4 linked regions of the Tamandua tetradactyla genome follow. Each later gene encodes a partner of the first gene's protein in a complex. Links are inferred from orthologs where the notes say so. Each region holds a gene or a part of one and is shown in the gene's direction. Other genes may lie near its edges.

The links.
Region 2: INTS1 (region 1) and INTS6 share a complex: the UniProt entries of both Homo sapiens proteins name them as parts of the integrator complex. The link is inferred for Tamandua tetradactyla from reciprocal best matches to the Homo sapiens genes INTS1 and INTS6.
Region 3: INTS1 (region 1) and INTS9 share a complex: the UniProt entries of both Homo sapiens proteins name them as parts of the integrator complex. The link is inferred for Tamandua tetradactyla from reciprocal best matches to the Homo sapiens genes INTS1 and INTS9.
Region 4: INTS1 (region 1) and INTS12 share a complex: the UniProt entries of both Homo sapiens proteins name them as parts of the integrator complex. The link is inferred for Tamandua tetradactyla from reciprocal best matches to the Homo sapiens genes INTS1 and INTS12.

The regions. Positions count from the first base shown.
Region 1 is NC_135349.1:1,062,561-1,070,561, reverse strand, and holds the start of INTS1 (integrator complex subunit 1), read left to right. Parts: upstream 1-4,985; 5' UTR 4,986-5,099; intron 5,100-5,413; 5' UTR 5,414-5,446; coding exon 5,447-5,504; intron 5,505-6,079; coding exon 6,080-6,370; intron 6,371-8,001. Other genes in the region: uncharacterized protein LOC143667835, read right to left, coding at 356-385, 2,093-3,088, 3,178-3,795, 4,180-4,188. UniProt on the Homo sapiens protein: Component of the integrator complex, a multiprotein complex that terminates RNA polymerase II (Pol II) transcription in the promoter-proximal region of genes.
Region 2 is NC_135330.1:104,750,276-104,757,413, reverse strand, and holds the start of INTS6 (integrator complex subunit 6), read left to right. Parts: upstream 1-4,121; 5' UTR 4,122-4,196; coding exon 4,197-4,307; exon of another isoform or gene 4,308-4,379; intron 4,380-4,615; coding exon 4,616-4,693; intron 4,694-5,436; coding exon 5,437-5,586; intron 5,587-7,138. UniProt on the Homo sapiens protein: Component of the integrator complex, a multiprotein complex that terminates RNA polymerase II (Pol II) transcription in the promoter-proximal region of genes.
Region 3 is NC_135329.1:30,332,501-30,340,351, reverse strand, and holds the start of INTS9 (integrator complex subunit 9), read left to right. Parts: upstream 1-4,849; 5' UTR 4,850-5,537; coding exon 5,538-5,546; intron 5,547-7,851. UniProt on the Homo sapiens protein: Component of the integrator complex, a multiprotein complex that terminates RNA polymerase II (Pol II) transcription in the promoter-proximal region of genes.
Region 4 is NC_135350.1:17,869,669-17,876,510, forward strand, and holds the start of INTS12 (integrator complex subunit 12), read left to right. Parts: upstream 1-3,842; 5' UTR 3,843-3,843; coding exon 3,844-3,981; intron 3,982-6,842. UniProt on the Homo sapiens protein: Component of the integrator complex, a multiprotein complex that terminates RNA polymerase II (Pol II) transcription in the promoter-proximal region of genes.

The DNA.
Region 1 (8,001 bases):
TAGTTGTAGAACATATTGAAGAGTTTGATGTAGATTATGATTTCACAATTTCAGGATTTTATTTCTGGCTGCTCTTGGATACTGGAGACTGAAAGAGATGTCAATTCAATGACCCAGCAGTCATATCCATTTGTTAAATCCTATGTGGTAGTTAAGTTCGTGTCAACTTGGCCAGGTGATGTGTCTGGTTCTGCTGCTGTGGATTTGAATCATTGGCCTGTGAAACTCATCTATGGAGGATCCCATCTGCAGTCTCCAATGGGAGGGCTGTCCTCAGTGAGTGAGGTTCAATTTAATTCATGGGAGGCTTAAACGAGAGACTCAGCGTAGCACAGCCCAAGCAGCTCAGCACACCTCATCTCAGCACTGGCAGCTCAGCCCAGGCCTGTGGAGATGCAGAAAGGAATCACCCCGGGGAAAGTTGTTGGAACCCAGAGACCTGGAGAGAAGGCCAGCAGAGACCATCCTGTGCCTTCCCATTAAGAAAGAACCTCAAATGAAAGTTAGCGGCCTTTCCTCTGAAGAACTATACGTTCTTTACTAAATACATCCCCGTTTATTAAAAGCAAGTCCATCTCTGGTGTGCTGCTTTCTGGCAGCTTTGGCAGTTTGGAACACCCTATCTTCTCTAACTCCACCATCACCTTTGATCTTTATCCCTCTCTTTATGGGTATTTGGGCTACGGCCTTTCTAACTTTTTCACGTTGGAAGGGGCTGTCACTAATATGGGGTAGGGAGATGGAACTACCTGATGTTCTGGAGAGGCTGGGCCCTCTAGGTGTCAGGACTTATCTGGACCAGGGACCCATCTAGAGGTTGTAGGTTTCTGGAAAGTTACTCTAGTGCCTGGACCCATGTGGCATCTTATATATCGCCCTAGGTGTTCTTTAGGATTGGCAGGAATGGTCCTGGTTGGGGTTGGCAGGTTATGACAGGTAGCAAGGTCTGCCTGAAGCTTGCCTAAGAATGACCTTGAGTAGTCTCTGGACTCTGAACTCCCTCAGCCACTGATACTTCATTAAACTTCTTTCCCCCCTTTTGGTGAGGATGGAATTGTTGATCCCATAGTGCCAGGTCTGGATTCATCCCTGGGAGTCCTCTCCCACATCGCCAGGGACTTTCACCTCTGGACGTCATGTCCCACACAGGGGGAGGGCAACGCTTTCACTAGGCCCTTTTAACCCACTCCTGCGGCACAGGCCTGCTGCGGGTGGTCCCTCTGCTTAGGTGGTGTCCCTGGAGCTGGGACCCCATCCATTCAAGGTGGACCTTAGCCCTTTACTAGAGTTCTATATGAGGAAAAAAGACAGAAGAGCCCAGAGAGCCCAGAGAAAAGCCCCAAGGAGCTGAGAGGGCCTGTGGAAGCTTAGACGGAGGCCCGGGAGAGAAGGACCAACTGCTGCCCCGATGCCGGCAGCCTGCAGAGGCCAGGTATCATCCTGCTGACCCCTTGCACTGGACAATTTCACGGCCTTAGACCTGTCAATTGTAAGCTAATAAATCCCCACTGCTGAAGCTGACTGTGGCTGGCGGATGGCATCCGGAGCTTCAGCAAACAGGAGCAGGAGAGAGTGGGGTGGACTCATCATGGTCGCCTCTTCTGGCTTCCAAACCCAGCGCCCACATGCACCGAGGCCCTGGGGCGGCCAGGGCGCCCTCCTGCCCTGTCCCCAGTGCAGTGATGCCTCGGGGCACCCGGCAGTGAAGGGGACCCAGAATCCTCCTGGTCTGGGAATGGCTAGAGGCCCGAGGTGCTGGGGTCAGGGGTCACAGGGGCAAGGGGTCAGGCTGCACCCCTTCCCCACCCCTGGAGGGAGGCTGGGCTGGAACTCGTGCACCAGCAGCCAGGGCCGACTGTCCGCCTGTGATGTTGCCCGTCCAGCTGGGGAGCCCCCGTGCACCCCGGGGTCTGAGGCATCATCACAGAAGCAGCCCCCCCAGTGCCTGTCGGCTGCGGGTTTTGTGGGGGGTCTCAGGCAACCCCCATGTGGGGGGTTCAGGGCTCAGTGCAGAGGGGATGGTTCTTGTGTCCTCCTAACGCATCCCCGAGCCACCCGCCACCCCTCCCACCCGCAGGCCTGGGGGGCTCACCTGCCCTCGCCTGGGTGTCCAATCAGCAATCCCCTCTGAGCCCCCACCTTGAGCGCAGCCCTGCCTCCAGGGCGCACACCAGGAGGTAGGGGACACGGAGGGACGCCTGTGTCGGGGGCTTCGCCTGCTGGACCCTCCGACGCGATGCCAACATCTGGCAGACTGAGGAGTCACCTGTCCTCCCTCCATCGCCTTGCCCTGTCCATGTTGCCCCGGCCCCAGGAAGCCCCAGGGCGCCTGTGCCACCCCTGGAGCTGAGGCCCACGTGGCAGCCGGGCAGGGGTACAGCAGTGTCCTAGCCCCCGCACCGCCCGCAGCCCCTACCACAGTCTCCTGGCCCCAGATGTGGGGGGTGGGGCTCGGGCTGCCTGGCCTCGGCCCTGCAGCCAGGGTGGGAAGGCCTAAGCGGCCGAGCTCCAGGGGGCAGAGCCGGGGCTCTGGGGTCCGCGACCACACAGCCACTGCTGGGCTTGGCCACCAGGTGAATCCCTTCCCTGCCCCAGCCTCCGGGCAGCTGGGACAAAGGGACCCCCATAGTCTCCCAGGGGTGGGCAGGGGGTGGCCTGGAGCCCTGGGAGGGCCGGGGCAGGCGGGTGGCCGTGGGGGTTCAAGGAAGGCTCCGTGGAAGGCCTGGGGCTGGGCGTGTGGCTTCCCCGTACCGGAGGGCGCAGGGCGGTCAAGTCCGCCTCGTCCCGCCCCAGCTTCCCTCAAGAAGAGGCCACCCCCACTGCCCAGGGACCCTCTCTCGGGCTCCCACAGGCCTCTGAGCTGGGATGGGCTCCTGCTGGCTTGATCCTGGGGAGTTGGGGGGCTACAGCCAGAGGGCCCCGGACCCTGGGGGGGGGGCAGATGGGAGGGGAGGGGGCCCCTCGTGGGCACAACCCCCACCCCGGGATGGAGGTACCCTGCCTCTGTTCCTCTCTGGACGCGGGAGGGGCCTGCCACCAACACGTCTCTGCCTGCTGCCTCCCAAAAGACTCGGAGTTTCTGAGTCTTCTTCCCTCAAAGGAGCCCAGTGGCAAGACCCTCTCGAAGGCCTCATTCCCGGACCCCGTCTGCAGGTGGGTGCCTGGGGCTGAGGGTACCCCTTCCCCGCTGTCTCCGCCCCCTTCCCCGCCGTCCCCGCTGGACCCCGCGCCCCTTCCCCGCCGTCCCCACCGGACCCCGCGCCCCTTCCCCGCCGTCCCGGCCGGACCCCGCGCCCCTTCCGCTGGTCCCCGGGCCCCTTCCCCGCCGTCCCGGCCGGACCCCGCGCCCCTTCCGCTGGTCCCCGGGCCCCTTCCCTGCCGTCCCCGCCGGACCCCGCGCCCCTTCCGCTGGTCCCCGCCCCCTTCCCCGGCCTGTCCACACCGGACCCCGCGCCCCTTCCCCGCCCCCTTCCGCCGGACCCCGCGCCCCTTCCCCGCCGTCCCGGCCGGACCCCGCGCCCCTTCCCCGCCGTCCCGGCCGGACCCCGCGCCCCTTCCCCGCCCCCTTCCGCCGGACCCCGCGCCCCTTCCCCGCCGGTCCCCGGGCCCCTTCCCTGCCGTCCCCGCCGGACCCCGCGCCCCTTCCCCGCCGGTCCCCGCCCCCTTCCCCGGCCTGTCCACACCGGACCCCGCGCCCCTTCCCCGCCCCCTTCCGCCGGACCCCGCGCCCCTTCCCCGCCGGTCCCCGGGCCCCTTCCCTGCCGTCCCCGCCGGACCCCGCGCCCCTTCCCCGGCCTGTCCACACCGGACCCCGCGCCCCTTCCCCGCCCCCTTCCGCCGGACCCCGCGCCCCTTCCCCGCACCCCTTCCACCGGTCCCCGCACCCCTTCCCTGCCGTCCCCACCGGACCCCGCGCCCCTTCCCCGTCGCCCCCGCGCCCCTTCCCCGCCGGACCCCGCGCCCCTTCCCGGCCGTCCCCACCGGACCCCGCGCCCCTTCCCGGCCGTCCCCACCGGACCCCGCGCCCCTTCCCCGTCGCCCCCGCGCCCCTTCCCCGCCGGACCCCGCGCCCCTTCCCTGCCGTCCCCACCGGACCCCGCGCCCCTTCCCCGCCGTCCCGGTTTGTGGTGTTTACTAATTTCTGTGGTGCAGATATTCCTGCATTGACTGATTTCAAGCCAGCAGCATGATGTCACTGGATGCAGAGCCAGGAAATGCTGGGCTCCATCCGCTCCAACCAGCGGTTCAAGCAGGCCCCAGCTCAGGGCTGCAGGAGAGGTCCTCCCGCGCACATCGGGTAGCACTGCTCCACACTGCTCTCAAAGTGAACCTGCTGAGTTACAAGCTATGGGAACTTTCAACGTTACCAGACCCCGCGCCCCTTCCCGGCCGTCCCCGCGCCCCTTCCCCGCCGTCCCCGCGCCCCTTCCCCGCCGTCCCCGCGCCCCTTCCCGGCCGTCCCCACCGGACCCCGCGCCCCTTCCCCGTCGTCCCCGCGCCCCTTCCCCGCCGTCCCGGCCGGACCCCGCGCCCCTTCCCCGCCGGACCCCGCGCCCCTTCCCGGCGCCCCTTCTCGCCGCGGCTCCTGCAGGGCCCAGGTCTGGGGCTCGGGGGTGGTGGTCCCAGGCTGAGCCCGGGGTTCGCCGGGCTCCTGCGCTCCCTCCCCCTCGCCGCCACCGCGGGGCACTCCAGGCCCGCCGCCCGTCCCTGAGGCGTCCGAGCCCCGAGGCCCGGCGGGGCCCGTCTGTACAGCCGACCAGTCGTACTCCCCGCGGGCTGCGCGGCGGAGCGGGCACTCGGCGGAGCGGGCACCCGCAAGGGCGGGCACGCGCAAGGGCGGGCACTCGGCGGGGCGGGCACTCGCCGGCTCTGGCCGCTCGCGGAAGCTGCAGTGTCCTGAGCGGCTGCCCCGCCGCCAGAGGGCGCTGCAGGCACGGCGAGGGCGCCGCCCGCCCGCCTCTCCTCTGCCTCCCGCCGCGCTGTTTTGCTTCCCACAATTCCGGAAGTGGGAGCGCGGAGAGCGGGAGCAAGCGTTTCCGGTTCCGGGGCGGCCGGAGCGGCCGGGAAGGCGCTCGGGTGGCCTAGGCGATGGGCTGGAGGTGAGTGGGCAGGGGCCCTGGCCTCGCCCTTGCCGCCGGGCGGAGCTGGCTCTTTGCTCCTTGCCCGGCCCGTCTTCCCTTAGGCTTCGGGGCGCCTCGGCCGGCCCACGCGCCCTCGGCAGCCGCCCCGGCCCGTGCCTCGCGGCTCCCGGCGCGATCGAGCCCCCTTGCAGGCGGCGTGGGTGCCGGTGTCTCAGGCAGCCCCTTTGAGAAACGCCCCGCCGGGCAGACTTCGGGCCCCGTTCGTCCCCTAGGTCCTCAGTCCCTGCACGGCAGGGGAAGGAATGAATGAATGATGTCGCGCTGTCTTTCAGGTGACACAGCAGCAGCGAGGGGAAGGGGACAGAATGAACCGTGCCAAGCCTGCCGCCGTCCGGAGGCCCAGCGCGGCGGCCAAACCTTCAGGCGAGTGAGAGCAGCAACGGGCTCTTTGGGGACTTCTCAGCTTTGCCCTTTGGCCTAAGTTGGAGCTTATTTAGCAGTAAAGTATGTTTCTAGCAATGAGGTCTAGAAAGAAACCTCGGTCCTAAGAGCTTCTGGAGTCCTTGGTGGATTTTGGACGCTGTGGCCTCCCCTGGGAGACTGTCACCTTGTTTCAGGTGGTGCATCCAAGGCTCTAGGCAGGAATCGGAGAATAATGTAGTTGAGGGCAGCGTCAGGAAGGTGGTTAAAAACTCAGGCTCTGGAGTTGCATTCCGGTTTTGTCTTTCCACCCTCTGCACCCCTGGGCATGTTCAGCCTCTCTGGGGCTCCTTGTCCTTTACCCTGTTTGGAAACTCATAAGGATTAAATAAACTAATACTTGTAAGTGGTAAGCTTTGCATAACTGCTGGTCATCCTTGATACTACATTATACCAGTCTCAGTTTAGCTGTTGACTTGCTAAGTAGCCTCGGGCTTGTTTTGTGCCTTCTCTCATCATTGTTTAACTCTCTCTGAAATAACAGGAGATTGGATGTATTCTCTTTCCCTTCTGTGCAGGACACCCTCCTCCAGGAGATTTCATTGCTCTGGGCTCAAAGGGTCAGGCCAATGAATCGAAAACAGCATCTACCCTCCTGAAGCCAGCCCCTTCCGGCCTGCCTTCAGAGCGCAAGCGGGATGCTGCAGCTGCTTTATCGGGTTCCTCAGGCCTGACTGGCCTCACCAAACGCCCCAAACTCTCCTCCACACCACCTCTGAGTGCCCTGGGGCGCCTGGCTGAGGCTGCAGTGGCAGAAAAACGAGCTATTTCTCCTTCCATTAAAGAACCATCTGTGGTACCGATTGAAGGTAAAGTAGGCCCTGGGCTCCTCAGAGCACGTACCCTGTTCCTCGTGAGTCCAGCAGCGTTTAGTGGACACCTCCCAGGCTTAGCACCGTCAGGGTCCTGAGAGAGGACGGATGAGACTAGATGTCTTAACAGGGCAGTTTGTTCATCTGAGAATTCATTCTCCAAAGCACCTCTCGTACAGGTGCCTTTATTCCACCTTCACTTCTAAATTCCTTGACAAGAATCAGGGAAATACTAAGGTGGCCCAGGGCGAGATGGCCTAGGAGAGAGGTGGGGTGGGGGCAGCACACAGGGAGATCTAGAATGACACAGTCACATTGTAAGAGCAAGTTTCTGACATTGGACAGGTCAGTGAGCCTTGTTGGCCTTCTCTGTAAAGTTGGGGTGAAAAGTAATAGGGTTTAGGAGTTAACAAGACTGCTGTGTGCAGATGCTTCATCAGCTGTGACGTGTGGGGTGAGAGGAGGACCTCCGCCGTTGTGTTCTCCCCACCTTCAGGGAAGGGGTACAGAAGAAGCTGCTGCATGAGGGTCAGTGCACCCCTAGCCTGCTGCCAGCTGCTCTCCTGTGGGAGCTTTAGTTAACCTGGTAGTCGTTTGGTGAGCATCTGCTCTGCAGGAGCTACCCTGAGCACAGGGACCAGTGGCAAGTGTGGCAGGTGAGGCTCTTCTCTCGTGGCTGGGATACCTCGTGTGTCCCCTCACCTGGAGAGGCTGGGTCTGCATTCGCGTGTATCTCCCCACCCAGGTGCAAACAGTAAAGCGTTTTACCCCCGCCTTTTCCAGTTGAAAACGCATTACAACATTAAAGACCTAAAAGAAGAATAGAAGCTCGATCATGATTTCACTACGCACACAGGTGTTTTTACCGTGGTGCGAATCTCTTGTTTTCCCTACGCTTCTGTGTGAGCTTCCCAGGGGTTGTCTTTAATGGCCCCACAGCATCCTGTGGGGTAGATCTATTAGAGAGATTGAGGCCCAGACACTGAGCCCGTGGGTCCTCGTAGGTTTGAGAGCAGACCTTGTCTGTGTATTTTTGATTGTGTGGGAGCATTTCTTTAGGTTAAATTCTTTGTAGGAGTTACGAGACAGAACGTCTTGACAGCTTTGGTAATGGTCTATCAGTTTAACTGAACCCACCACATGTTATTGAGACCATGAATGTGGAGTCACAGGGGTGTGAGGATAAATAGCCTGTGGCTCCTGCCCCCAGAGTGCAGACCCTCAGAGGCGCCAGGTGACTGTAACTCAAAGCTCCGCGGAGTAAGTCCCACTAAGGGGCTGAGCAGTCAGGTGTCCTGACTGCTCAGGTAGGGAGAAGGCACGTCAGAATTGCAGCGTGAGATCAGGTCTGCAGGATGGATGATATTGTTACAGGCGGTAAAGAATGCTGGCAGGAAGACAGGCGAAGCAGAGCCGTCTTCCTGGGGAATGAAGCTGTGCCAGGGCTCGGTCTGGGTGTGGCCTGGCTGGCACATGGTGGCGAGCAGTGTGGCCCAGAGGTGTGGACAGTGTCTGCATCTGGGTCACTTGGAGTTCAGAGGCAGTGGGGAGCAGAACTGACTGAGCAAGAGCCAAGCTGGCAAAGGCTGGGACTCCTCTGTGCTGAGGGCCTGACCTGCCCTGTCTTC
Region 2 (7,138 bases), on another chromosome or scaffold:
AATGGCCCCAAAATAGTGGTGATAGTGTATTAGAATTGATGAAATATGGATGTTACCTTGAATTTTCAAAACAACCCTGTATGGCAGGCATTATTATATCATGCCTGGAGTCTGCTGAATCCCATACTATTTATTCTCATTTCTTGTTTATTGGTCTTTGTTCTTTCCCTTTAGGTCATAAGTTCTCTGCGGGTCTAGCACAGTGCCCGTCACATATCAGGTATGCAATTAACAATAGCTGAAAGACTGACTGCAATTTCCTGTTCTTTTGCTAGAAAAACAGTTCCCCTGTGACTCCCTTCTCAATCTGAGTATGTTTATTTACAGGGCTGATTTTGAATGATCTGAGACTTCAACTCTTACTGTGAAACACTGCTCCTTGGAATTTCTTTTTAATAGTAGTCCTTAGCAGCATTTTTCTGAGGACTGATAGTATGTAATATTGGGATTACCAAAATAAAATTTCCTTATGTATGTATTACCTGACTACACTGGATGTAGTTTCACATCTAATTGTTTATGCTTATCACTTCTATATGTTTCTTTGATGTTCTCAATCTTTAAACATCATTGACTAAGGTCATCTCACACAGGTTAGAAGACAGAAGCCACAGCATTGGTGTGCTAGCCAGAAGAGACTTGGTTAGGTTACATATTGAGGAACACTAGGTTCATCTGATTATTATGTTCAGATGTCATGCCCAGATACCAGAAACCGAGTCATTGGCACATAATTATTTTTAAACCGTGTTACCCTGCTTAATTGGTTTAAAATAATTTAAAAGAGCTCTGGTTGGCTCCTACAAATGTATCTAATTCATCAGTTCTTAATTCTGTTAGAATAGCTCCATTTCAACCATTTAAGCCGTTGTCTGGCCCAGAGTCACCATTATTTCAGCAGTTCCTGTACAATTTATTCGCTCCCTTTTAAACTGGGGCCAGAGCATTTGAACAACACTCCTTTAAAAACAGTAGCAGAGAGCACTTTTTCTCCACCATATCTCTTCTGACCAGTGCTTTCTCAGGAACATTTTCCTTGATCTTCTAACCACAACAGGAAACAGGACTGGGCACAGAGACTCCTAACTGGTTCTTCCTCTAGCACTAAAATGCTGGTTCTTCAGTTGAATCTCAGGTGAAATAATTGGCTTGAATTCAGGGGCCACATTTTAGAAAAACAATCTTGCATTATCTTTCTATAACCACATGTTAGAATCACAGGTAGCCTCATGGCTCCCATCTCATGCTCACTCCAGGACCTATGCTCACTGAAGGAGACAGTGGGGATCTCTGGCACGGCTTAAATGACTTTTCTCTTTATTTTTTGCCAAAATATATATAGTTGAATTAAAAAAAAATTAAATAAGCCTCTGCCAAAAATATATTAAATATATTGTGTTAAATATATTGGTGACCACATTCATAGTCTTCCCTTTAGCTGGCAGGGTTGTTTATTTTAGGAGTCCTTGCAAAAATGCAATAAATCTAAGGGTGTTTGAATGTTTTAGTTATTTGTACCTACTAGATGTCAGACACATACTTTTTATACTTTAAGCATGCAGTTCTCAATCACTATTATTTATAAGATTCACATGAAGAGTTTTTCAAAATGTGGACGACCAGGGCCCATTCCAGTTCTACTCTATCAATCACTTTCCTCTGGGGATGGCAAGCTGGTATATTTATTGTCATTACTTTAAGCTCTATATGTGAGGCTGATGTGCATTTCCTGGCTAAGAATCATTGCTTTAAACCATTGTCAACCTGTGCTTTAACTGTCAACCAAATGAGTCACTAAGAATAAACTTGACCTATTTCATAATTTTGTCTAGGGTCTGCCAGTCAATGCTTCCTGGCTTCTGATTGCCTCTTGATTTGCTACCTATGCTTGTTCGGATTTCTTCCTTTTTCTCCCGCCCCCCCCCCCCCCCCCCCCCCACCCCGACCTTTCTGGACATTGCTTCTGGACCAAACACTGGCCTTTGGTTTCAGGCTCCATTTCTGGCATAGGTTCTGGTTACCTGTTTTGGGTTTGGCTGATTGCACTTAGCTTTCCTGCGATTTGCAGAGCTGTTTATACCACACTTATCATTTGGGTTTAGTAATAGTTTTTAATGTGTATGTCATATTTTCCTAGAAAACCTTAAACTCTGAAGGGAGGGCCCCCGTGCTTCATTCCTCTTTTTTTCACTCTCCATCATACCTAGCTCACAGTAGGTCTTCAGCAAAGTGGCTGAACAAACTGCTTAAAGACCTGTATTCCATACCCTTTCTACTTCATAGTCCAAATTCCTTACAAATATCACACTTCTATGGGAGGTACTCACAAAACACCCTATCTACTGAAATAGTCCTACTACAAATTAGCACAAAGTTTCAGAGCATATCTTAAATACTAGGAAAATTCCAAGTTGTGAAACTCACAGATTTTTAAAATGTGACACAAAGTATCTCTTCTCTGCTGACATTAATTGGGACAATTTCTCTAAATGACCGATAGGCAAATATCAAGAATCTCAGAATATTAAAAAAAAAATCACATTTAACATGAGTAGGAAAGTTTCTATAAATAACGACAAAGGCTTATAAGAGCCCTGTGCTCCTAATTCTACCTGTATCTAAGGCAATGTGGCCAGTTCTTCCACTGCAGTAAATTGAGGACACATTACTCCAGGTGAAACGACAGGGGCTTGTTTTAATAGTCTGAAAGGTAGCACGTAGTGGGAGGAAAGAGCTGGGGAAGGGTGATCAGGATCCACTCGGTGCATTCTCGGCTGCCTGGGCAAGGTGAAGTCAGTTTTCCACTTGGAAAGGAAAGGTAATGGGTCATGGCCACCGAGGGCCCTTTCAGCTCTCAAGGCTGGATATCCTAAGGCCCCTTGTAAACTCGACGTGAGAAAGGCATTTCTTCCGCTAGGCCCAGTCAATCTTGCCCCCAGAGTAAAAAGGCAGCAAGCGGCTGACGGATATTTTTATCTTCCCCCATGCCCTTCGGTGGTCTTTTCCTTCTGGCCCCCCGCGGAGGGCACCCGGCCTGCCCCGGCCCCAGCCTCGGCGGCTCCCCTGCAGGCCTGGCCCTGGGTCCGCACTCCCTAGCGAGGTGGCTAGTCCCTGGTCATAAACAACCCCTCCTCCCCCTCCCGGACCCGCCCGCGCCGGGGCCGCCCCCCACGCCCCGCGCCCAGTGCACCGCCTCTCGCTGCACAGTGACCCGCGTGCACTTTGCTCGTCCCTTCAGCACTCGCCCACCGGGTAGGGGTGCGCCACAGAGACCTCCAGAAGAGGCCGAGGCCAGGCTCCCTCCCCCTCCCCCCGACCCCGATCACCTCCACCAGCCCAGAAGAGGCCGGAGGCCCTGACGCGCAGGCGCAAAGCGCGCCCGCCCCTCCCCCACGCCGCGGCCCTTCCGCGGCCCGGCCCCGCCCCTTCCCGGAGCCCGCCTCCGCGCCGGCAGGCCCGCCCGCCCGCCCCTCGCGCTCGCGCTCGCGCGCCCCCGACGCCCCGCCTCCGCGCGTGCTCAGTAACCGTCCCCAAAGCTGGCCTCCAAGCTTCCCCCGCCCCTGAGCTGTTTGAATATGCTAATGAGAGTCTAGGGGCTAGCCAATACGAGGGCGGGGCGGCGCGTCACGTGGCCAGGGGACGTGTCCGGGGGGCGGAGCCTCTGCAGCCCCTGCCCGAGTTAAAACCGGAGTGTGCGAGAGAAAAGCGCTTCAGTAGCGAGAGGGGCTGAGAAAGTGGTGATACCGCTGGGGTGCGGAGGGAGTCCCTGAAACTTCTCCCAACAGCCCCAGGGCCAATCTCCCCTCAGCCCACTCCCCTCTCCGCCAGCTCCCAGGTCCCCACTCCCTGCAACCGGGGGTGGGGTGGGGAGTCGGGCCCGTCTCCCGCTGGGACACACACAGGGGCCGGGAGCGGGGACGGGACCCCCAAGGCGGGGGGGTACGGACCGACAGACAGACGGCCGGGCGCCCGGCCCAGCGGGCAGGCAGGCAGGCGGGCGGAGGCGGAGGCGGGGGTGGACGGGGACGATTGGGTCTGGGGAGTTTCCTCTCAACTATCGGGGGAGAAACTCCCCGCAGCCGGAGGGAAGACCCAGACGGTGTTTTCCTCCCGGGGGCCGCGCGCCGCCGCCGCCCCCGGCGCCTCCGCCGCTGCCATCTCTGCCTCGGCCGGCCGCGGTGTCCCCGGCCAGCACTATGCCCATCTTACTGTTCCTGATAGACACGTCTGCCTCTATGAACCAGCGCAGCCATCTGGGCACCACCTACCTGGACACGGCCAAAGGCGCGGTAGAGACCTTCATGAAGGTACCGACGGAGCGAGCCCGGGCGGCGATCCCGGCCCGGCGGCCCGCGGGGGGCAGGGCGGTGGGGGCGGTGGGGGCGACGGGCCGCGGGGCCGGGGACCCGGCTGCGGGAGCCGCGGGGCCCCTCCCCCACCGCGCGGGCGGGCGGGCGGCGGGCGCTGCGAGCGGGGCTCGGCCGCGGGCGGGGTGCGGGGCCCTTGGGGTGTGGGGGCGGCGTGGGGGGGTGCTGCGTGTGCGGTACTGGGGAGGTGGTGGGGGGATGCGGCGCGGGGACCCTGGCCTGCGTGCTTCCCTCCCGCTCTCCCGCAGCTCCGCGCCCGGGACCCCGCCAGCCGCGGAGACAGGTACATGCTGGTCACTTTCGAAGAGCCGCCCTATGCCATCAAGGTAACAGCCCTCGGCCTCCCCCCCCTCTTGGTGTCGGCTCCGCGCCCTCCCCGCTCCCCCCTCGCTGTCCTCGCGCCCCTCCCCCACCCGCGGGTCTCCGGGCGACTCCCCCGCGGGCCCCCTCCCCCGCCTCGGGTCGCGCGGCGCGGCGCCGAGCCGCCCGCCACCGCCGCCCCCTCCCCGGCGCGGCCCGCGGCGCTGCGCTCAACATGGCCGACATTTCCCCTCCGCGGCGCGGCGGCAGCAATGAACTGTGGGGGATATTCTTCCCAGCGGCCCGGGTGACAGCGGCCCGCCGCGCCCCGCTGGCCCCGGCCGGGAGCCCAGGCGTCCAGGCGGCGGTCGGCACGGGTCAGGCTCCAGCCGGGGGCGCCTGCGGGACGGGGGGCTGCAGAGCCGCCCCCGGAGGGCCCTAGCCTGGCCCGGGCCGCCGGGCAGCTCGAGGTCAGCCGGCGAGGGTCCTCTTCCCTCCAGAACCTTCGCACCCCGCGCCTTGGGGTGTTAGATCAGGTAGTCTACTTCCCAGCCAAGTGACAGAGTGCGGAGGCAGCTGGCCACCCCACCCCGGGAGCAAGCGGCTCCTGTTCTTGGCCACCTTTGGAGGAGAGTTTCCCCAGTTGGGATACAGTATATAAAACAAGTTAACCAGACCATACTGTCAAGAAAAAGAGGCCACTTGGTGAACATCAGATTATAATGGCTGTCCCCAAGACGAAAAAATATTCTTAAATTTTTCTTTTCAGGCTGGATGGAAAGAGAACCATGCAACGTTTATGAATGAACTGAAAAACCTTCAGGCTGAAGGACTTACGACTCTTGGCCAGTCCCTAAGAACAGCTTTTGATTTGTTAAATTTAAATAGATTAGTAACTGGCATAGACAACTATGGGCAGGTAGGTTGAATATTAAGGTGGAAAAATAGTTGATTTTTTCATGCTGTGGGAAAACACATTCCACTCCAAAATCCATATGACCTGAAATAGAAGTATGAAACATTTTAGGTGAAAACTTAAGCTGAAGTAAGTTTAAAACATATAGTAACACGTACTACAAAGGTGAAACTCTCACCTTACTGTTCACGGTTTTGTAGCCCTCTTTTTTTTTGTTCTAACAGTGCATTTGTATTCAGAATTAGAATCTGATTTTTTCTGTAAGTTACGTGTTATGAATTTGGTCTTAATCCCTTGAAGTTCATAAAAGAAGAAACCTGTCTGGTCTTACCCCGTTGCATTGATACCCTACCACAGGCAGATGGGCAACCCTTAGTGGTTGTGGAGTAGTGCTATTTATTTCTATATTAGTAAAAATGTTAGAGGAAATGCAAAAGGGTTTAATTTAATCCTCTGACATAGCAATTCTGAAAGGGTTCTCATTGAGGTACAATGACTGGTTTGGCACATTAAGATTTCTCAGCTTTTGAAGGATACACCATTAGTGACTATTGCAGGGGGATTCTGAATTAAATGGCAGGTCTAGAGGTGTTTTTCTTTGGGGGTGGTGGTGTTTTTTTTTTCAAAACTCCAAACCCTTGGAAAAGAGGCTGTCTGAAAAAATATGAAAGGAACCCTATCTTAACCCCCCCCACAAGTCCGTCTGTTGTACCTGCATTTCTTCATTTGAGGATGACATAAGGTTTCCCACAGAGCCTTAAATCATTTGATGATTCACTATGAAATAATCTAGGTGGTCCTTTATAACTCTTATATGAGATTGCTGGCCTGGAAAATAAAAGATACTGAAGAATGTGTGATGTTGCACATAAGAAAGGAATATTAAACCCAAGGACTTATGATGTAGTGTAAAGCACTATTACCACAATGATACATTTAGTTATACATTACATCTGATCTTTTCCCACGTTCCATGAGCCACAGATTTCATAAGTATCACAGGGAAATTCTTTCTGTGACTGCAACTTTGAACTGTTCCTTTCTTTTAGAAATGTTTGTTTTACTTAATACTGATAACTTGAGTGTTTAAGGACCTTTGCAAATGGCTGATTTTAGTTCAGTGACCTTTAAAGTGTGCATTGCAATGCAGTCACTTCTGCTTTTACCAAATTGCAGGTCATTTAAGTATATGTGTATTTTCTTACCACATTATAGTTTTATTCCACCCCCCTTCATTTCACACCTTTCAGTAATTTAGGCAGATTTGCCATGCCATGAACTTTTTAGTTTGTTTCTATAAAATAATGGGTTTCTTTCCTTTGCTATTTGTAAAGGTGAGGTATCTTATGCTTACATTATAGTTGAAACTTTATTTTTGAAATCAAAGAAAAATGTGAAACTTTCCATTGTTTGGTTATCCTTATTTTTTGGTTAGTATGTAGCAGAACTATTAATTTCCTGTTTTCCACCATCACAATCCTTAAGTGGAAAAGTTCACCAATACTAGCTATTAAGAATATTGTTTAGTTGCTTTCTTAGGAATCCTGATTGTTGT
Region 3 (7,851 bases), on another chromosome or scaffold:
TAAGGGAAAAAACTGAAAGCAGGAAGATGAGTTTAAGAGACTAATGTGATAAGCCAGAAATGATGAAGGCCTGAATTAAAGGAATAGCAACAGAATGAAAAGAAGAGAATAGATACAAAGAATGTAAAATCAACTTGACTTCATGATTGGATGGGAAGAGTGAGAATGATTCCAAGGCTTGACTGACTAGGTTCAACCAAATGTCTTCATATTTTAACAATTCTACTACTTTATCAAAATATTAAACCAAGAGTCTCAGTTATTTGATTTTTTCTCTATTAAAAATGTAACTATATATATATATATATATACTCTTATCAAAATCAGCACTCTCAGTTTAAGAAAAACCTTTGAATGGATTAGCACCATTTTATCACTTATAATAGGGTGGGGGGTGGGGGTAATCTCAGGTCATCTGTTTTAAATTTAAAAAATAAAATAAAATAACTGATCACTTCGAAGTTAAAAACCAGACTACTGTTCTTTTTTCTCCTTTGTTTGCAAATGTTAAAAAAAAAAAGCCTATAGTTAAAGCTCAATCAACAATCTGCGAACTTCTGCATTAAGATTATTATAATAACCATTGAAAGAACATACCGTAACTTCAATCTTAGTATCACTGTAAAGGTGAAACTTTGCTAAAGCCAGGGCCTTCCAGTAACTAAATGCTCCTGGAAAGCATCCAAGACAATATTATAGTAAATTTCCAACTTGTTTCATCTAAATTTAAGGAAAATGAGTTATCTAAGGCACTGGATTATGTTTAAATAGACTCTATAGTTTTATATCAAATAATCACTCAGAAAAATCTTTATACCTATGACACACCCTAAATCCAATAATAACTATCTGACGGATAGTTGCACATAGTATCTAAGTCATATATTACGAAGGATATCATTTTTAGAAAAATTTCAAGACCCATATTTTGAGAGAACTACATTTTTGAGAACCTATTAATACAATAGCTTAGCAATAAAACGCTGAAAATCTCCATAGTTTCTACAATGTGGAAGCACGTGAAGGTGGTTATCTCTTAGTTTCTAGAGTAAGTCACTGTTCAGAGTCTCCTGCTATTTGTGGCACAGGCTGTTTTTTATGGGCTGCATGTCTGATAGATATGTATCAATGTCATATATAAACAAACATTAAAATGTTTTATATATGGTGAGTACATATATGACACTATAGACAAGCTGGCTTTCACTCATAACAATTTTTTTGTATAAATCAAAGTTCTTCTAATTTGAGAAGTAAAAGCCAACAGTTAATAGAAATATCTAACCAATGGCTAGAATTGCAAAGTGAACTATAAAATTAACTTTGGTAGTGAAAAACAACTTAAGAAAAACAGATTCACAAAACAAACCAATGCATTTTCACTCAGCACTTCCAAGCATATCTACAAATTGCCACATTTTAAAAAGTTGAATGGCACCAAAACAAATGAATTTATGACAAATGTCATCAAAGGAAAAATTTCTAGTTGCCAAGTGAAATCATTCAAATTTAAATATCTACATACAAAAATAATAGAGCAAGAGCTGCAATGAAACAGAAAAACCAAAGATTTTACAGGAGACATAGTAGCTCTGTGAAACATTAAAAATAGGATGGACTGAATACAACATACTGGATGAATATTCCCATAATTTTCAACAAATAATGAAACAAGAAATGCCATTCTAATCAATACTTGCCATAAAAATTGCCTTACAATGGTTACTTGTTTTTTATGATGAAACCATGAGAGATTTATAGCAATATAGCTTATGATCTACCAATACGGAGATAATAAGTTCATATTAGTGATGTTTTAACTAAGGACTTGCCTAATAAAAGACTGAAATTTGTTCATACAGCAATGAAAATGAAGCCTCAACAAAGATATTGAACATAAACTCCCAAAGGCAGCCTGATGCATATTTGTAACCACAAATCGCATTCACTACATGCAATACACAAACTAGCAACAGATTGGGTTAAAAACTGTTTGGATTTTCAACTTGCCATAATATAGACAACATTTTTAGAAATGATCACATGAAAATAAATGTGGCTTTCACAGTTACAGGATGAAATTTTAAGCTGGCCAGGCACCAATGCCCTGATTTTCCACTTTTTTTCGTAAACCATATGACTTTCACATGCTGAGAATGCTTTATGCTTTAACCTGCAGTAAAGGCTTTACATCATTTTAATGCCCTGGGCTTAAAATGCAACAGAATCCCCTCCCCCACAACAAATGTACGAAATATATGTGGTTTACATGCAAAGATTTCATCCAGACTAATAATCAAAGTAAGTTTAACGAAAGCTTTTCCCAGCAAATAACTTTGAATTTCCATAGAAGAAAACAAAACAACAACAAAAAAATTTTTGAGGGTAGGGCAGGTAGAAGAAAACACATTTCCCAACTCCAACAAACATTTTAGGTCTGTTTCTTAAAATAACTGTTAAACATTTTAAAACTCTATGGCTAGGATAATATCGTTCAGCAAAAACCACACTATTACGTAGTTACATAGGATTTTTCCCCAGTTTTTGCAATGTAATGTTTCAGTACATTCAGTACATTCAATCTTCAATGTAAGACATAATGTTAAAATAAATAATTCTGGAAATCCTAGTTTATAACAAACTAATGACTCGGCTTTGAACCAACATATTCTACATTCTAAATTTGAGATTTAGAAAACATCAATTTTTTTAAATTCAGGCCAGTCTAAATATACATGCTACCTTGCACTTCAGTCAGTTTATGTGAATGACCAACAGCAGAAATTTCAATAAAAAGTTATGAAATATAACATAAAATCACATACTAAATGTGATTTTCAGTTTTTGTACACTCTAAAGTCCCTTACTGATAGGTAGTGGTTTCAAGAATTGATAAGTTTCAGGGGAAATAGGTAAATACATTAAATTCTCAACAGTCTAAATAGAAATTATGGCAATTATTTTAGTTACTTAAAAATCCATTACACTAAAAACACCACTAAGAAGGGTTATTTAAAAACTTACATTTCAGATTGAAGAAAGTAAAAAACAAATTATACTAAATTCTCCTGGTATAATGTTATTAAATATTAAAGACTGAGAAACAAGTGATGTTGCGATCCTCTTTCCTTTATAATTCAGATTGCAAATAGAAGAAAATTAGAATTCAAATTTTCATAATTTAACTAGATTTGACAACTTGTGCGATTTAAAAATAAGTTTAATGCAAAGCACTAAAATCCTAAATGATATTCACTTGTGGCATAAATGCAAAATAAAAATAAATGCAGATCCTTTTCATTTAATGATAAATATGATAATAAACCCACAGAAAAGTACAACCATATTAGTGCAAACTAAATAAAAAGGCACAGTAGGCATTATGTCTATCGGAAAGAAAAATGATGTACCATGCCAAGAAAAAAAGGAAAGAAAAACGGCTGGTAGAAGGATGGAAGGATGGAAGGATGAAGGAAGCAAAGAAGATCTCTACCAGCAAGATTCCAGAGAAATGAACTAGTCATCTAATGATACATGAGGTTTTTAAAGCTTCAGAGTAAATAAAGACAGCAACCACTTTATACTATCCAACTTTACATAGTATATATCTTTAATACCAACTGCCTTCTCTTCACTCACCCAATGCTTCCTCACTCTTCCATACCAGCTTCCAGGCAAATGCCAGGCAGAACAGGGTGGGGTAAAAGAAAAATACAAGCAGCGCCTTTCAGCTGCCCCCCAGATAATTTCCGACAGTTTTTCCTAGCACGAAAATAACTCGTCTTATCTCAAGATACGCAACAGTCATCCTGTGTCTTTAGTAGACAATGAGAACACATACAGAATTCAGCACTTCCGACTCCCACCCCACACACCAAATTCTTAAGTAATTGTTAATCTATTTAACAAGAAGACTGTGAGATACCTCTACCTAATGTTCCAGAGTGAGGGTGGGTGGAGGACTCCTTTCAAAGTAGCCCCAATAGTGTAACCAGAACACGGTTCCGGAATAAAATATTAAGAACACTTTTGGTTTGCCACCTATCTACCGACTTAAGGATGCAAAAATCCATCTCCAAACCACATCATCTCTACAGTTCTCCTACCCTGAGTTTGGGGCGGAGATTTGTCCAGAAGAGCGGATGAAGGCAGGGAGGAGTAATGTGAGTGAGTAATGGGACACAACGAGTTGCTACCCCGCACCATGTCGCCAGCCCAAACGCCCAGGATCAGGACCTCACGCACGCTTCTCAGCCCAGGCCCAGGAAAAAGCTATGTCTCTAGCTATTTAACTTCTTATCTATAGACATTTACTCAATACAAACATATCATACAAGTACACGTCACACAGTTTAAAACAGTTATGTACACACCAAATAAATCAACGTACCTCAAAATCACCTTAGTTACCCAAACTCCAAACTGCAGACCCTACCTCCAGGATTCAAACCTTCCGCCCAGTTTAGGAAACAAGGAGAAAGAGTTGGGGAGCAGCCAACGCCTTTCACTTACAGCCCCCCACAAAGTGCCCCACCCCATACCCTGCGTCTGGGTCACACACTCTGAAGCCCCTGATTCTTCCCTCTTCTCAATCGGGCCGCTTAGGAGACCCTTCCCAGCCCACACACTTTCTCCCCAAAACCCCTTTAAAAAAAAAAAGTGAAGAGTAAGAAGTAAGGGAAAAGACTTGAGGAAGTCCGGCTTCAAAACCTCTCGACTCACCTCAGAATCCTTGCTGAGTTCTCTTCGCCCGGCACAGCCCCCTCCCCAACGTCCCAGTACGAAGGTCTGAGGTAAGGAGGAGGGGAAAGCAGGAGGGGGAGGGGTGTCTTCCGCGTGGGGCGCCAGTTGGAAGGGGACTGGGGAGGGGTTGAGACTAGCGCAGGAAGAGGAGAAGGGGGAGGGGAGGCCCCTATCTCCCAGTCTACCCCTGAAAACCACCCTTGTCTCAATCACATCAGACTGACTGTCTTTGTCTGGCTGACAACCGCCATATTGATATCAACAGCCCCGCTCCCACCTGCTGCCGCCAGGCGATCCTGGGAGTTGTAGTTCCTGCCTCCCTTGAGCAAAAGCGCGGGACCCGTCAACTAGAGACCCTAGAGAACTACAGCTCCCAGCAAGCCGCGCGCCCATCCGCCTTCCCACAGGGAGGAGGGAAAAGGGGTCTCAGTCGCAGGGAGACTACACGTCCCAGAATACCATGGACCCCAAACCCATATGGGGGACATGATATCATGCTGGGGTGTAGAAAGAGAAAGAGAGAACGAGAAGATGAAGTGGCAACGCGGATGAATTTGAGCTAAGGGAAGGAGGAGTTTAGAGAGGAAAGGGAGGAAAAGGAAAGATGACCACAATTCCCATGATGCATCTAGGGAAGACTACAGTTCCCATGACTCCCTGGGAGAGGGAAGCGTAGAAAGAAAGACTGCATGTTCCGAGATCCCCTTTGCGGCTCGGTGTCGAGGATTGAACCGGAAAACGCTTTCTGGGTGTGAGGAGTCGAGTGACGGGTATCTGACAACCTAAAGTCCGATATGAAACTGGTGAGTCTCCGCTCCTAGGTCAGGTGGCAAAGCAGATGTCATATCATTTTTGGACTTCGTCGTTTCCATCTTGGGAAGAGATCAGTTGGGGAGAAGGAGTGGCTTTGAGGAAGCTAGAAAGTGGGGTGAACTAAGGAAAGCTGCTTTTTTGTTGTTGAGGAAGCTTGAATTCCCCTCCCCCCTCTCTCTCTTTAGAACTCTCTGGAGAGCTTATTCGCTCATTAACTGGGCCCTTTGGTCAGATAAAAGGTTGACTGTCACGCATTTATCACCTGTGAACTAGGATTGGGCTTGATTTAACTTCCACGTGAGTGTTATAATAAGCACACTGTTGGTATTCATCTGTCACCACTTGTACTTTTTTAGCGCGTCTCCCTGCCCTTGTTGAGAAGAAATTACTAGGCAGAACGTGGTCACTTATTAAATTTCCTGACATAGACTTCGAACTGCCCTTGGAATTCAGAGAAGGACGAGATTAGCGTGTGATCTTGGAGGATTTGAATCTTAAACTCCGCATAGAATTTGAATGGACAAAGAGGAAGTGGTCTAGGTCTGTAGGGACTGCCTGAGCCAAGGCTAGGGAATATGCCAGTATACGAGAATCATCAGAAACTCAAACACTTGACTTACATAAAAGTTTCTCAGACCTTTATTTTGAGCCATTTTACTCTTAATTGTGCATACAGATCTAACAGATTTGTTTATTCCATTCCTATTGAACTAGTAATAGTATAATTAGAGGGAAAGTAGGAAAACAGCTGTGAAATGTTTCTCAACTGCTTAAATCCATGTTCCAGCACCTAAGTTAATGTCAAGCTTTACTTCCTGTAACTTTTTTTACAGAAACAAAAGTTTATTTTCTTTTTCATTAATATAATTATTTGTATATGTGCTTTTCCAAACTACTTCTATCCCCTTCCACCCATTTGATAATCACTATGTTACATGATACGCTATGAAAATATCAGCTATTTGCAGGAACGTCAGAGAAAATATTTAAAAATTCAAATCCAAAACCATCTCCTCTTCAAGTTGTTTATGTAAGGGGAAGGATGCACGTCAGTAAACCTTGAGAATATCAGCTTGCTTCTGAGTCAGTGTGCAGAATTTAAGAATGCAGAATTGAAAGACATAGCCCTTGGTCCAAAGAAGTCTGCATTCTAATAAAGATAGAAAAGCAAGCCAAAATTAAAATTCACTGTGTTAATAGTAAAAATAGAGGAATACTCAAGGTTTGGGGAATTAAAGGGACAAGAATGGTTAACTGGAGATGTCTGGGACAGCTTCCTGAAAAGGTTATTGGTTCTACTCCCCAAATGAATTGTTTTTTCAATAGTTCCATTTCTCTTCAATCCCACTATTACTACCTTTGTACACGCTTTTCTCCCTTGACACCTAGAATTCAACAAGACCCTCTTAATAATCTCCCTGCATTCATTTTTAACCCTTTCGACTCCATTATCTTCTCCAAATCCCAGAAATTGTTTTAAAATGCAGAGTTCCATAAAACCCCTCAGTAGCTTCTTTTGCTCTTAAGGTGAAATCTTATAAATCTAACTTAATTTAGTTGGTCCTGCAGAATATGGCCCTTCCTGCCTCTCCAGGCTTATTCTTGGCCCTCTTCTGTCTCACTCTCTCTGTTCCAATTATATTGTACAACTTCCAGTTCCTTGAGATCATCCTGTACTCTTTTTCTTATTGAACTTTAAATGTGTTCTATTGCCTGCAACGCTTTTTTTGCCTGGCTAATTTCTTTGTGCATTTCAGGTCTCTGTTTTAAAAAAGCGCTTCTTCAGGCTTCCTTGAATTAAATACTCTTTGTTATATATGTCCATGGCATACTTCCTGCGTGTACCACTTATAATTATTGGTGTTATGTCTGTCCTCTCTCATGTAGACTCTTTGTATTCCCATGGCCTGATAATATAGTGTAACCCCCCTAAGTAGGAGTAGTTGAATAAATAATTTCTGAAGGATTATTGAGGTCGATGAAGAAGGCTGAGAAAAGGTTAAGGGTGCAGGTAAAAGATTAAAGAAAGTAATAACCATTGGAGTTATTATTAAAAGTAATAATAATTGCTACTGTTTTAAAACAATTACTGTTTGCCAGGCAGTGTGCTAGGAAATTGCTATATAGCATCCCATTTAATCCTTTGATCTAGGTATTAGTACTACCATTTTCCTGATAAAAATGTAAGTCTCAGGGAGCTGAGGTAAGTGGTTCAGAATTACGGATATAAATGTTAGAACCAAGATCTGATCCCACGTTTCCCTGACTCCAGAGTGTTGCTTTTTAAAGGTGAGG
Region 4 (6,842 bases), on another chromosome or scaffold:
CACCTAAAAAAAAAAGAAAAAAGATAAATGGAAATGCCTCAAAGTCAAATGTTTTTGTGCCTCAAAAGACTTTGTCAAAAATGTGAAAAGGCATCCAACTAAATGGGAGAAAATATTTGGAAATCACACTTCTGATAAAGATTTGATATTCTATATGCGTAAAGAAGTCATACAACTCAACAGCAAAAGAGCAAACAACCCAATTATAAAATACCCTAAAGGTATGAATAGGTATTTTTCAGAAGAGCAAAAACAGATGGCTAAAAAGTACATGAAGAGATGCTTATGTTCATTAGCCATAAGGGAAATGCAGATCAAGACTACAATGAGATACCACCTCACACCTATAAGAACGGTTGCTACTAAACAAGGAGGCAACCACAAATGTTGGAGAGAATGTGGAGAAATTGGGGCACTTATGCCCTGCTGGTGGGAATGTATAATGGTACAGCACTAGGAAAGATATACTGCAGTTCCTTAGGAAACTAAATATCGAGTGGCCCTATGACCCGGCAATACCAACCCTTGGTATATACCCAGAAGAGTAGAAAGCAATGACCAAAGAGACATTTGCACAGCAATGTTCATAGCACCATTGTTCACTATAGCCAAAAGATGGAAGCTATCCAAGTGCCCATCAACAGATGAGTGGAATAACAAAATGTGGTATATTCATATGATGGAATATTATGCAGCAGTAAGATGAAATAACATCCTGAAGCACATGACAAGATGGATGAGCCTTGAGGACATAAGCCGGACACAAAAGGATAGATACTGAAAATACCACTTTTATGACCATGGTTAAGGTAGAATCAGATGCTTATAATAAGAATATAGGGGATTTAGAGATACACAGAAGCTAGAGATGGGTGAATGGTTAGCTAATGAGGTTGAACTCAAATGTAGGGGAATAGAAGTGAAGGTGGTTCTCTAGTGGGTCTATAAGTAATATTACCATATTGAAGGTAAACATGATTGAAAGGCATTGTATGGACCTATGTGTATTATGGATTAACACTACAAATATAAATAAATTCTTACATGAACTACCGCAAAGATATGAATTTTGTACAAAGAGTATATAAGTTGGGGTATAGAGGGAAAACTGCTAGTGCATTCTATGGGCTATGTTTAACAGGAAAATATCAACAATACCACAGCAACACCATTATTACACCAGAGGTAAATAATGGGGCAAATGACAAGAGTTAAGGGGAGGCTTAGGTTTTCTGTTTGGTGAGTGTGTTTATTGATTTGCTTGTGAAATTGTCTAAAATTGAGTGTTGGTGGACTGTTGACTTTGGATATTATAAATGATGCCCAATGGATGGAGGTGGATGAAGGATGAACTGATAGAGAAGTAGATTAGCTAATGATGGTGTATACATGTGTTAAAATATTGTGCTGCTACAAAAAAGAAACAAATTTGTGAGGCATGCAACATTGAATGAACTTGTACAACATTTGGTCAGGCAAAATCAGCCAGAAACAAAAGAGCAATTATTGTATGGTCTCATTTGGAAAATACTTATAAGAGGGGCCTAGATTGTAAGCTTTTATAGCAGTCACATTTAGTCTGGAGTGGTGATTGTTATTTCTGGATTTTGAGAGACTGTTTTATATATGTATAACCTGGTATTTAGAGGTAAGAATGAAACCGATCAAGGATCAAGTTGGACTTAAGGTATTTCAGAATACAGGGGCAAGGAAGACATTGTTTATATTTTAGCACCTCATCTACTCTTTAAGACCAAAAGAAGAAAGGTTTATTTTGTCCAGAACCTAAATTTTTTGTAGCACTTAATCTAACTCAACCTGTCTGGACAGCTCATTTAAAGAATGGAAGCACAAGGAGCCCAGAATAAGAATGAGGGCCTTTAAACTTGTATATTTAATATAATGCCTGGACATAGCCTAAAATATATTAAGCACATGATCAAAAAGTATTGGCAAAGTCCCTTGAGGGATGACAGAAAAAAATTGGAAGTATTAAACTTTACTATCAGGGAAACCCTAGATACTGTGTCAGACATTAGAAACACAAATCAATCGGCCAGGCCCTTGATCTTGAGGTTTGCTCTTGTGAAGCTTATCTGTGTAGCAGAAAAGCTTAACCTACCTATAGGTATGTCTAAGAGTTACTTCTGCAGAACCTCTTTTGTTGCTCAGATGTGACCTCATTCTCTATAAGCCCAACTCTGCAAGTGAAATCATTGCCTCCCCCCACCCCACATTGAACATGACATCCAGGGGTGAATGTCTCTCTGGCAGCATGGGAGATGACTCCCAGGGATGATTCTGGCCCTGGGACTGTGGTATCATCAGGGTTATCCTGACCAAAAGTGGGAAAAGAAGTGTAACTAATGAAATATCAGTGGCTGAGAAAGTTCAAATAGAGTAGAGAGGCTACTCTGGAATTCACTCTTAAGCATGCTTTGGTTAGGCATTGCTGCCTATCATAACTTGCCAAACCCCAACCAAAACCACTCCTGCCAAACCTAAAGAACACCTAGGGCATTATATAGTATTCTACAAAGGTTCCATGCACTAGGGTAACTTTCCAGAAACCTACAACCTCCAGATGGTCCCTGGACCAGATAAGTCCTGAAATGCAAAGGGGACAGCCTCTTCAGAGCATCAACTAGTTCCATCTCCCTAGCCCATATTATCTATAATCCCTTTCAAATGGAAAAGTTGGAATGGGCATAACCCAAACACCCCTAACGAGTAGGTGAAAGATCAAAGGTAATGGTGGAGTATACAGAGAAGATAGGGTTTAACAATGAGTAGAATTGCTGAATCATTATATTCATATTATATTTCTTTTAGTCTTCTTTATCTTAGAGCAGCTAGAAGTTAAAACATAAAATTGTGGAACTGTAATCCATACTAAACTCTGAAATCTGCTCTACAGATTAGTTCTACAACTAATTGCTGTGATGTGCTTTGAAATTTATTGGGGTTCTTTTTCTGTATATATGTTTTTTTACAAAAAAATAAAAAATAAGCAAAAAAGAATTGTATTTTGTAGAATGTTGGCTTGAAGATTGATTTCAAGATCTTTTTTGGTAATTTAAATACGTAAAGTATGCAGAAAATGTTTTTGTGAAGGAAAAAGAGAGTACTTTTTCCCCTTAAGTAAAATAACTGATTGTTGCAGAATGAGAAACAGGAATGTGTTGGACAAAATGAATGGATATAGAAAATTGTAGAGGTCTTGTTGGAAGTGAACTTTATTGGTTGTGGTTAAGGTTGAATACGATTTTATAGTTTTGTAAGATTTTTAATAGAGTTCTCTTCAGATGTATCTTCATGCAAAACAAGAATTTGTTTTTCACTCCGTTAAATGATAATCTTTTCTTGGATTATTTATTTGTTCTTAGTGAGAAGCTATAAAAGGTTCTTAACCATCTGAGTAATCTACCTAGATGACAAAGATTTTATGTCTTATCAGGCCAATATAGTTATTGATATGTATGTAGACTATCTTCTTCCTTATTGTTTTAAACAGTGCTTCCTTGCTTTAAAAAATATATTTTGTCTTTTAAAAATCATGTAACTCCTCTATTTACTTTCAAACTTTAATGTCACCTTGATTAAATAAAGAACCAAGGAAAAAAAAAGTCAGGGAGACCTAGTCCAAAAAAAAGAACATTGTTTCTCTGGGTTAGATAATAGTTTCAAACCAGTACAACTAGGAAATGGGACCTAGGGAAAAGGCATATATACATATTTTGTATTTATATATAGTACCTGTTTAGATTGGAGGGATCCAGAAGCCCTAGGAAGTGACATTTAAACAAAAATCTCTTTCATTCATTAATGAATATTTTTGAGCACATGTTAGCTTCCCACTCCAGGAATATAACAGTGGAAAAACAAGTCCCTGGCCCTCGTGGAGTTTGCAATCTGGTGGGCATAATCAATTTAAACAAAGTGAAGAATGGGAAAGAGAGCATTCCAGACGAGAACATACAGGTACTCAGTCATGAAAGAAGTAGGGGTTGTTTTGTTTTGTTTTGATTTGAGCTATGGGTTTTTATTTTGGATGTGTGATTGGTTGTGGGGAAAGGGAGTTGTGCTGGGTTTCCTTTTTGTTGGTTTTTGCTGGCGCATTAAAAATGGTTAGATTTGTTTTAGAGGAGAGATGAGACCATTACACTTCGCTCTGATCCCTTCATTCAGTAATGATACCTATTATGTTGTGTACTTTGTAAAGCAGAAAAAAAGATAGGCAAAAAGATAAATATAGCCTTTTCCCTTCAAGTATTCAAGAATTTTGTAGGGAACATAACACTACAAACAGATATGGTTTAAAGTAGTCAGTGCCAGTGCCATGAGAAAGTACTATGAGATCTCGTAGGAGAAAGAGGCAATTAGTAGTATTTGGGGTGGGGAAAGGCACAGCAGCTTTCAGTGGAGTCCTTGAAGAAATATTTGAACTGAGTCTTGAAAGTTGGAAAATATAAAAATGCAAGAAAATCTTCCCAAGCCAAAAAAAGTATGAGTAAAAATGAAAAGACCAACTAATGGCTCTGCTGTAAAGAATTTTTAGAGGCAAGAAATGATAGAGTTTAGGTTTATTAATGAATCTTTTTAAATACAAGGCCAAGTATTTTGAAGGTATACAAAGCCTTGATTTTGTAGCAAGAAAATGGTTTTTTTAATAAAGAAGGAAGAAAAGTATTCTTCAGCTACATTGATATGGCCACAGTTAATGAAATCAGGAGGAAAAATAGAAAATTATTGTTTTAGTTCAAGTGTGCAAATAAAAACCTGAATTTGAGTAGTACTAATGAAAATAGAAAATGGGACAAATGTGAGAAATGTCAGAATCCACAATAAGGACCTGCTGATTATTTGGGTAAAAAGAGTCAGGGAGGGTTCAGTGAGGGAAATATTTAGGCCTCAGACTTGATTAACTGGAAGTTGTGTCATTTACTGATAAACAGTGCAGGACAAGAAACTTGAGGGGGAGAGAATTCATAATCTCAGCTGTAGTCATAACTGAATTCGAGATGCCATTAGAACAATCAGGTAAAGATATCTACTAAGCATTTTAAAGTGTAGGATTTAAGCTTAAGAGAGATTAAGGTGAAAATAAATGAAAGAAATCATATGCCTAGAGATGACAGTTGAAAATATGATATGTATAAGATTGCCAAGGGAGCAGTTGATAGCAAAGCTAAAGAAAATAGCCAAGGACAGATACTTGATCAATACGAAGAGAAGCAGGGATGAGAAGATGAGCCAGAGAAAGAGGAGTCAAAGATAGGAGAGGAAAAACCAGAAAAGGTGAGTATGACAGAACTCAGGGCTGAAAATTTTTATGAAAGAGGAAGTGGATAATGTGTTCATGGGCCAGCATTTGCTAAGTACTGCAACAGGCAGTCTGCTAGATACAGGGTTACAGCAATAAGACCAGTCCACTCCCTGCCCTCATAGAACATACATTCTAATGAGAAATAGATACTATTTGCATAATTAACAGTATGGTGTTTATTATGAAGTACACAATATTTTGGGACCACACAATAAACAATAAGACTTCTAATTTTGTTGGGGAGATGTGCAGGAAAAATCTGAGATTTAAAGGGTGTGTAAGATGAAGGGAGGAAAAGCATTTTCTATTAAGGTGCTGAGATGAGAAAGAGTATGATATGTTGGAGGAATTAAAATAAGTCATATGTGGTTATCACAGAGGATGACTGTAGCTAACATTTAATGAACATGTACTCTGTTAGTTAAGTTGTAACTTTTTTATACATATAAAATGGTAGGACATTAGGGACCTTGTTAAGAATCTCATTCTTTAATGTTTGGACAGTGAGAAGTAACAAAAATATTTTAAGCAAGGGAGTGATATGAAAACATTTGGAGGGAGGCAGAAGTGGTCATGGAAAGACTGATAAGGCTGTTGCAGAGGGCCAAATAATAGGTAAGAATTTGATTTGGGATGGTAGTGGTAAGGATTAAGAATGGAAGATATATTTAAGAGGTTTGGTGATTGAATGTAGGATTGTATGGAAGAGGGAGGAGTTAAAGCTGATTCTCAGGTTCTATCTGGAGTAAGTAGGTGACTGTCATTTATGATGAAGATGAAGAACTGCTTGGGAGATAAAGAGGTTATGGGTGGTTCTGTTAAGAACACGTTGAATAGAAGGCACTGCTAAGATATCCAAGTCAGGCCCCAGAAGTGGAGTTTGAAAGAGAGGTATGGGCTGGAGAGATAAATTTATAATCACTGGCAAAAGGCTGTAGATCAAATTGTCTAGGGAAATCACCTGGAGAACTTAACACATTTGAGGGGCCCTACTCCCAACTGTTTTTGTACTGGACTATTGGAGAGTTATTTCTAACAGAGTTCCCAGATGATGCCATTGCTACTGATCCAGACACCACACTTTGGGAAGAAGGTGTAGATGAGACAGGAGACCCAGAACCAAACCTTGAGGAACTTATTTTGTGTTTAAGTGGAACTGAAAGTATCTACGAAGGTGAATGAGAAAGAAGTAGGAGGAAATCCAGTAGAATACGGTGTAAAGTATTTCTAAGAAGTTGGGAATGGTCAAGAGTATAGAATGCCACTGAGAAATCTAGATGAGGATTTAAAAAGTATTCAATTTCCGTAAGTAGGGCTGTAAATGACGTTGGTGAGAACATTTTCATGGAAAAGTGTGACAAAGGTTAAATTGCATGAATTGCAGCAGAAGTAGAAGGACTGAAGTAAAAAGAATACGAAATATAGGTGACTTTTTGAGAAAGTTTTGCTATACAAAGGAGAAGACAGGATGGAAGAGTCTTCAATATAAATGTCACTGAGGAGATATCAGTAGAAA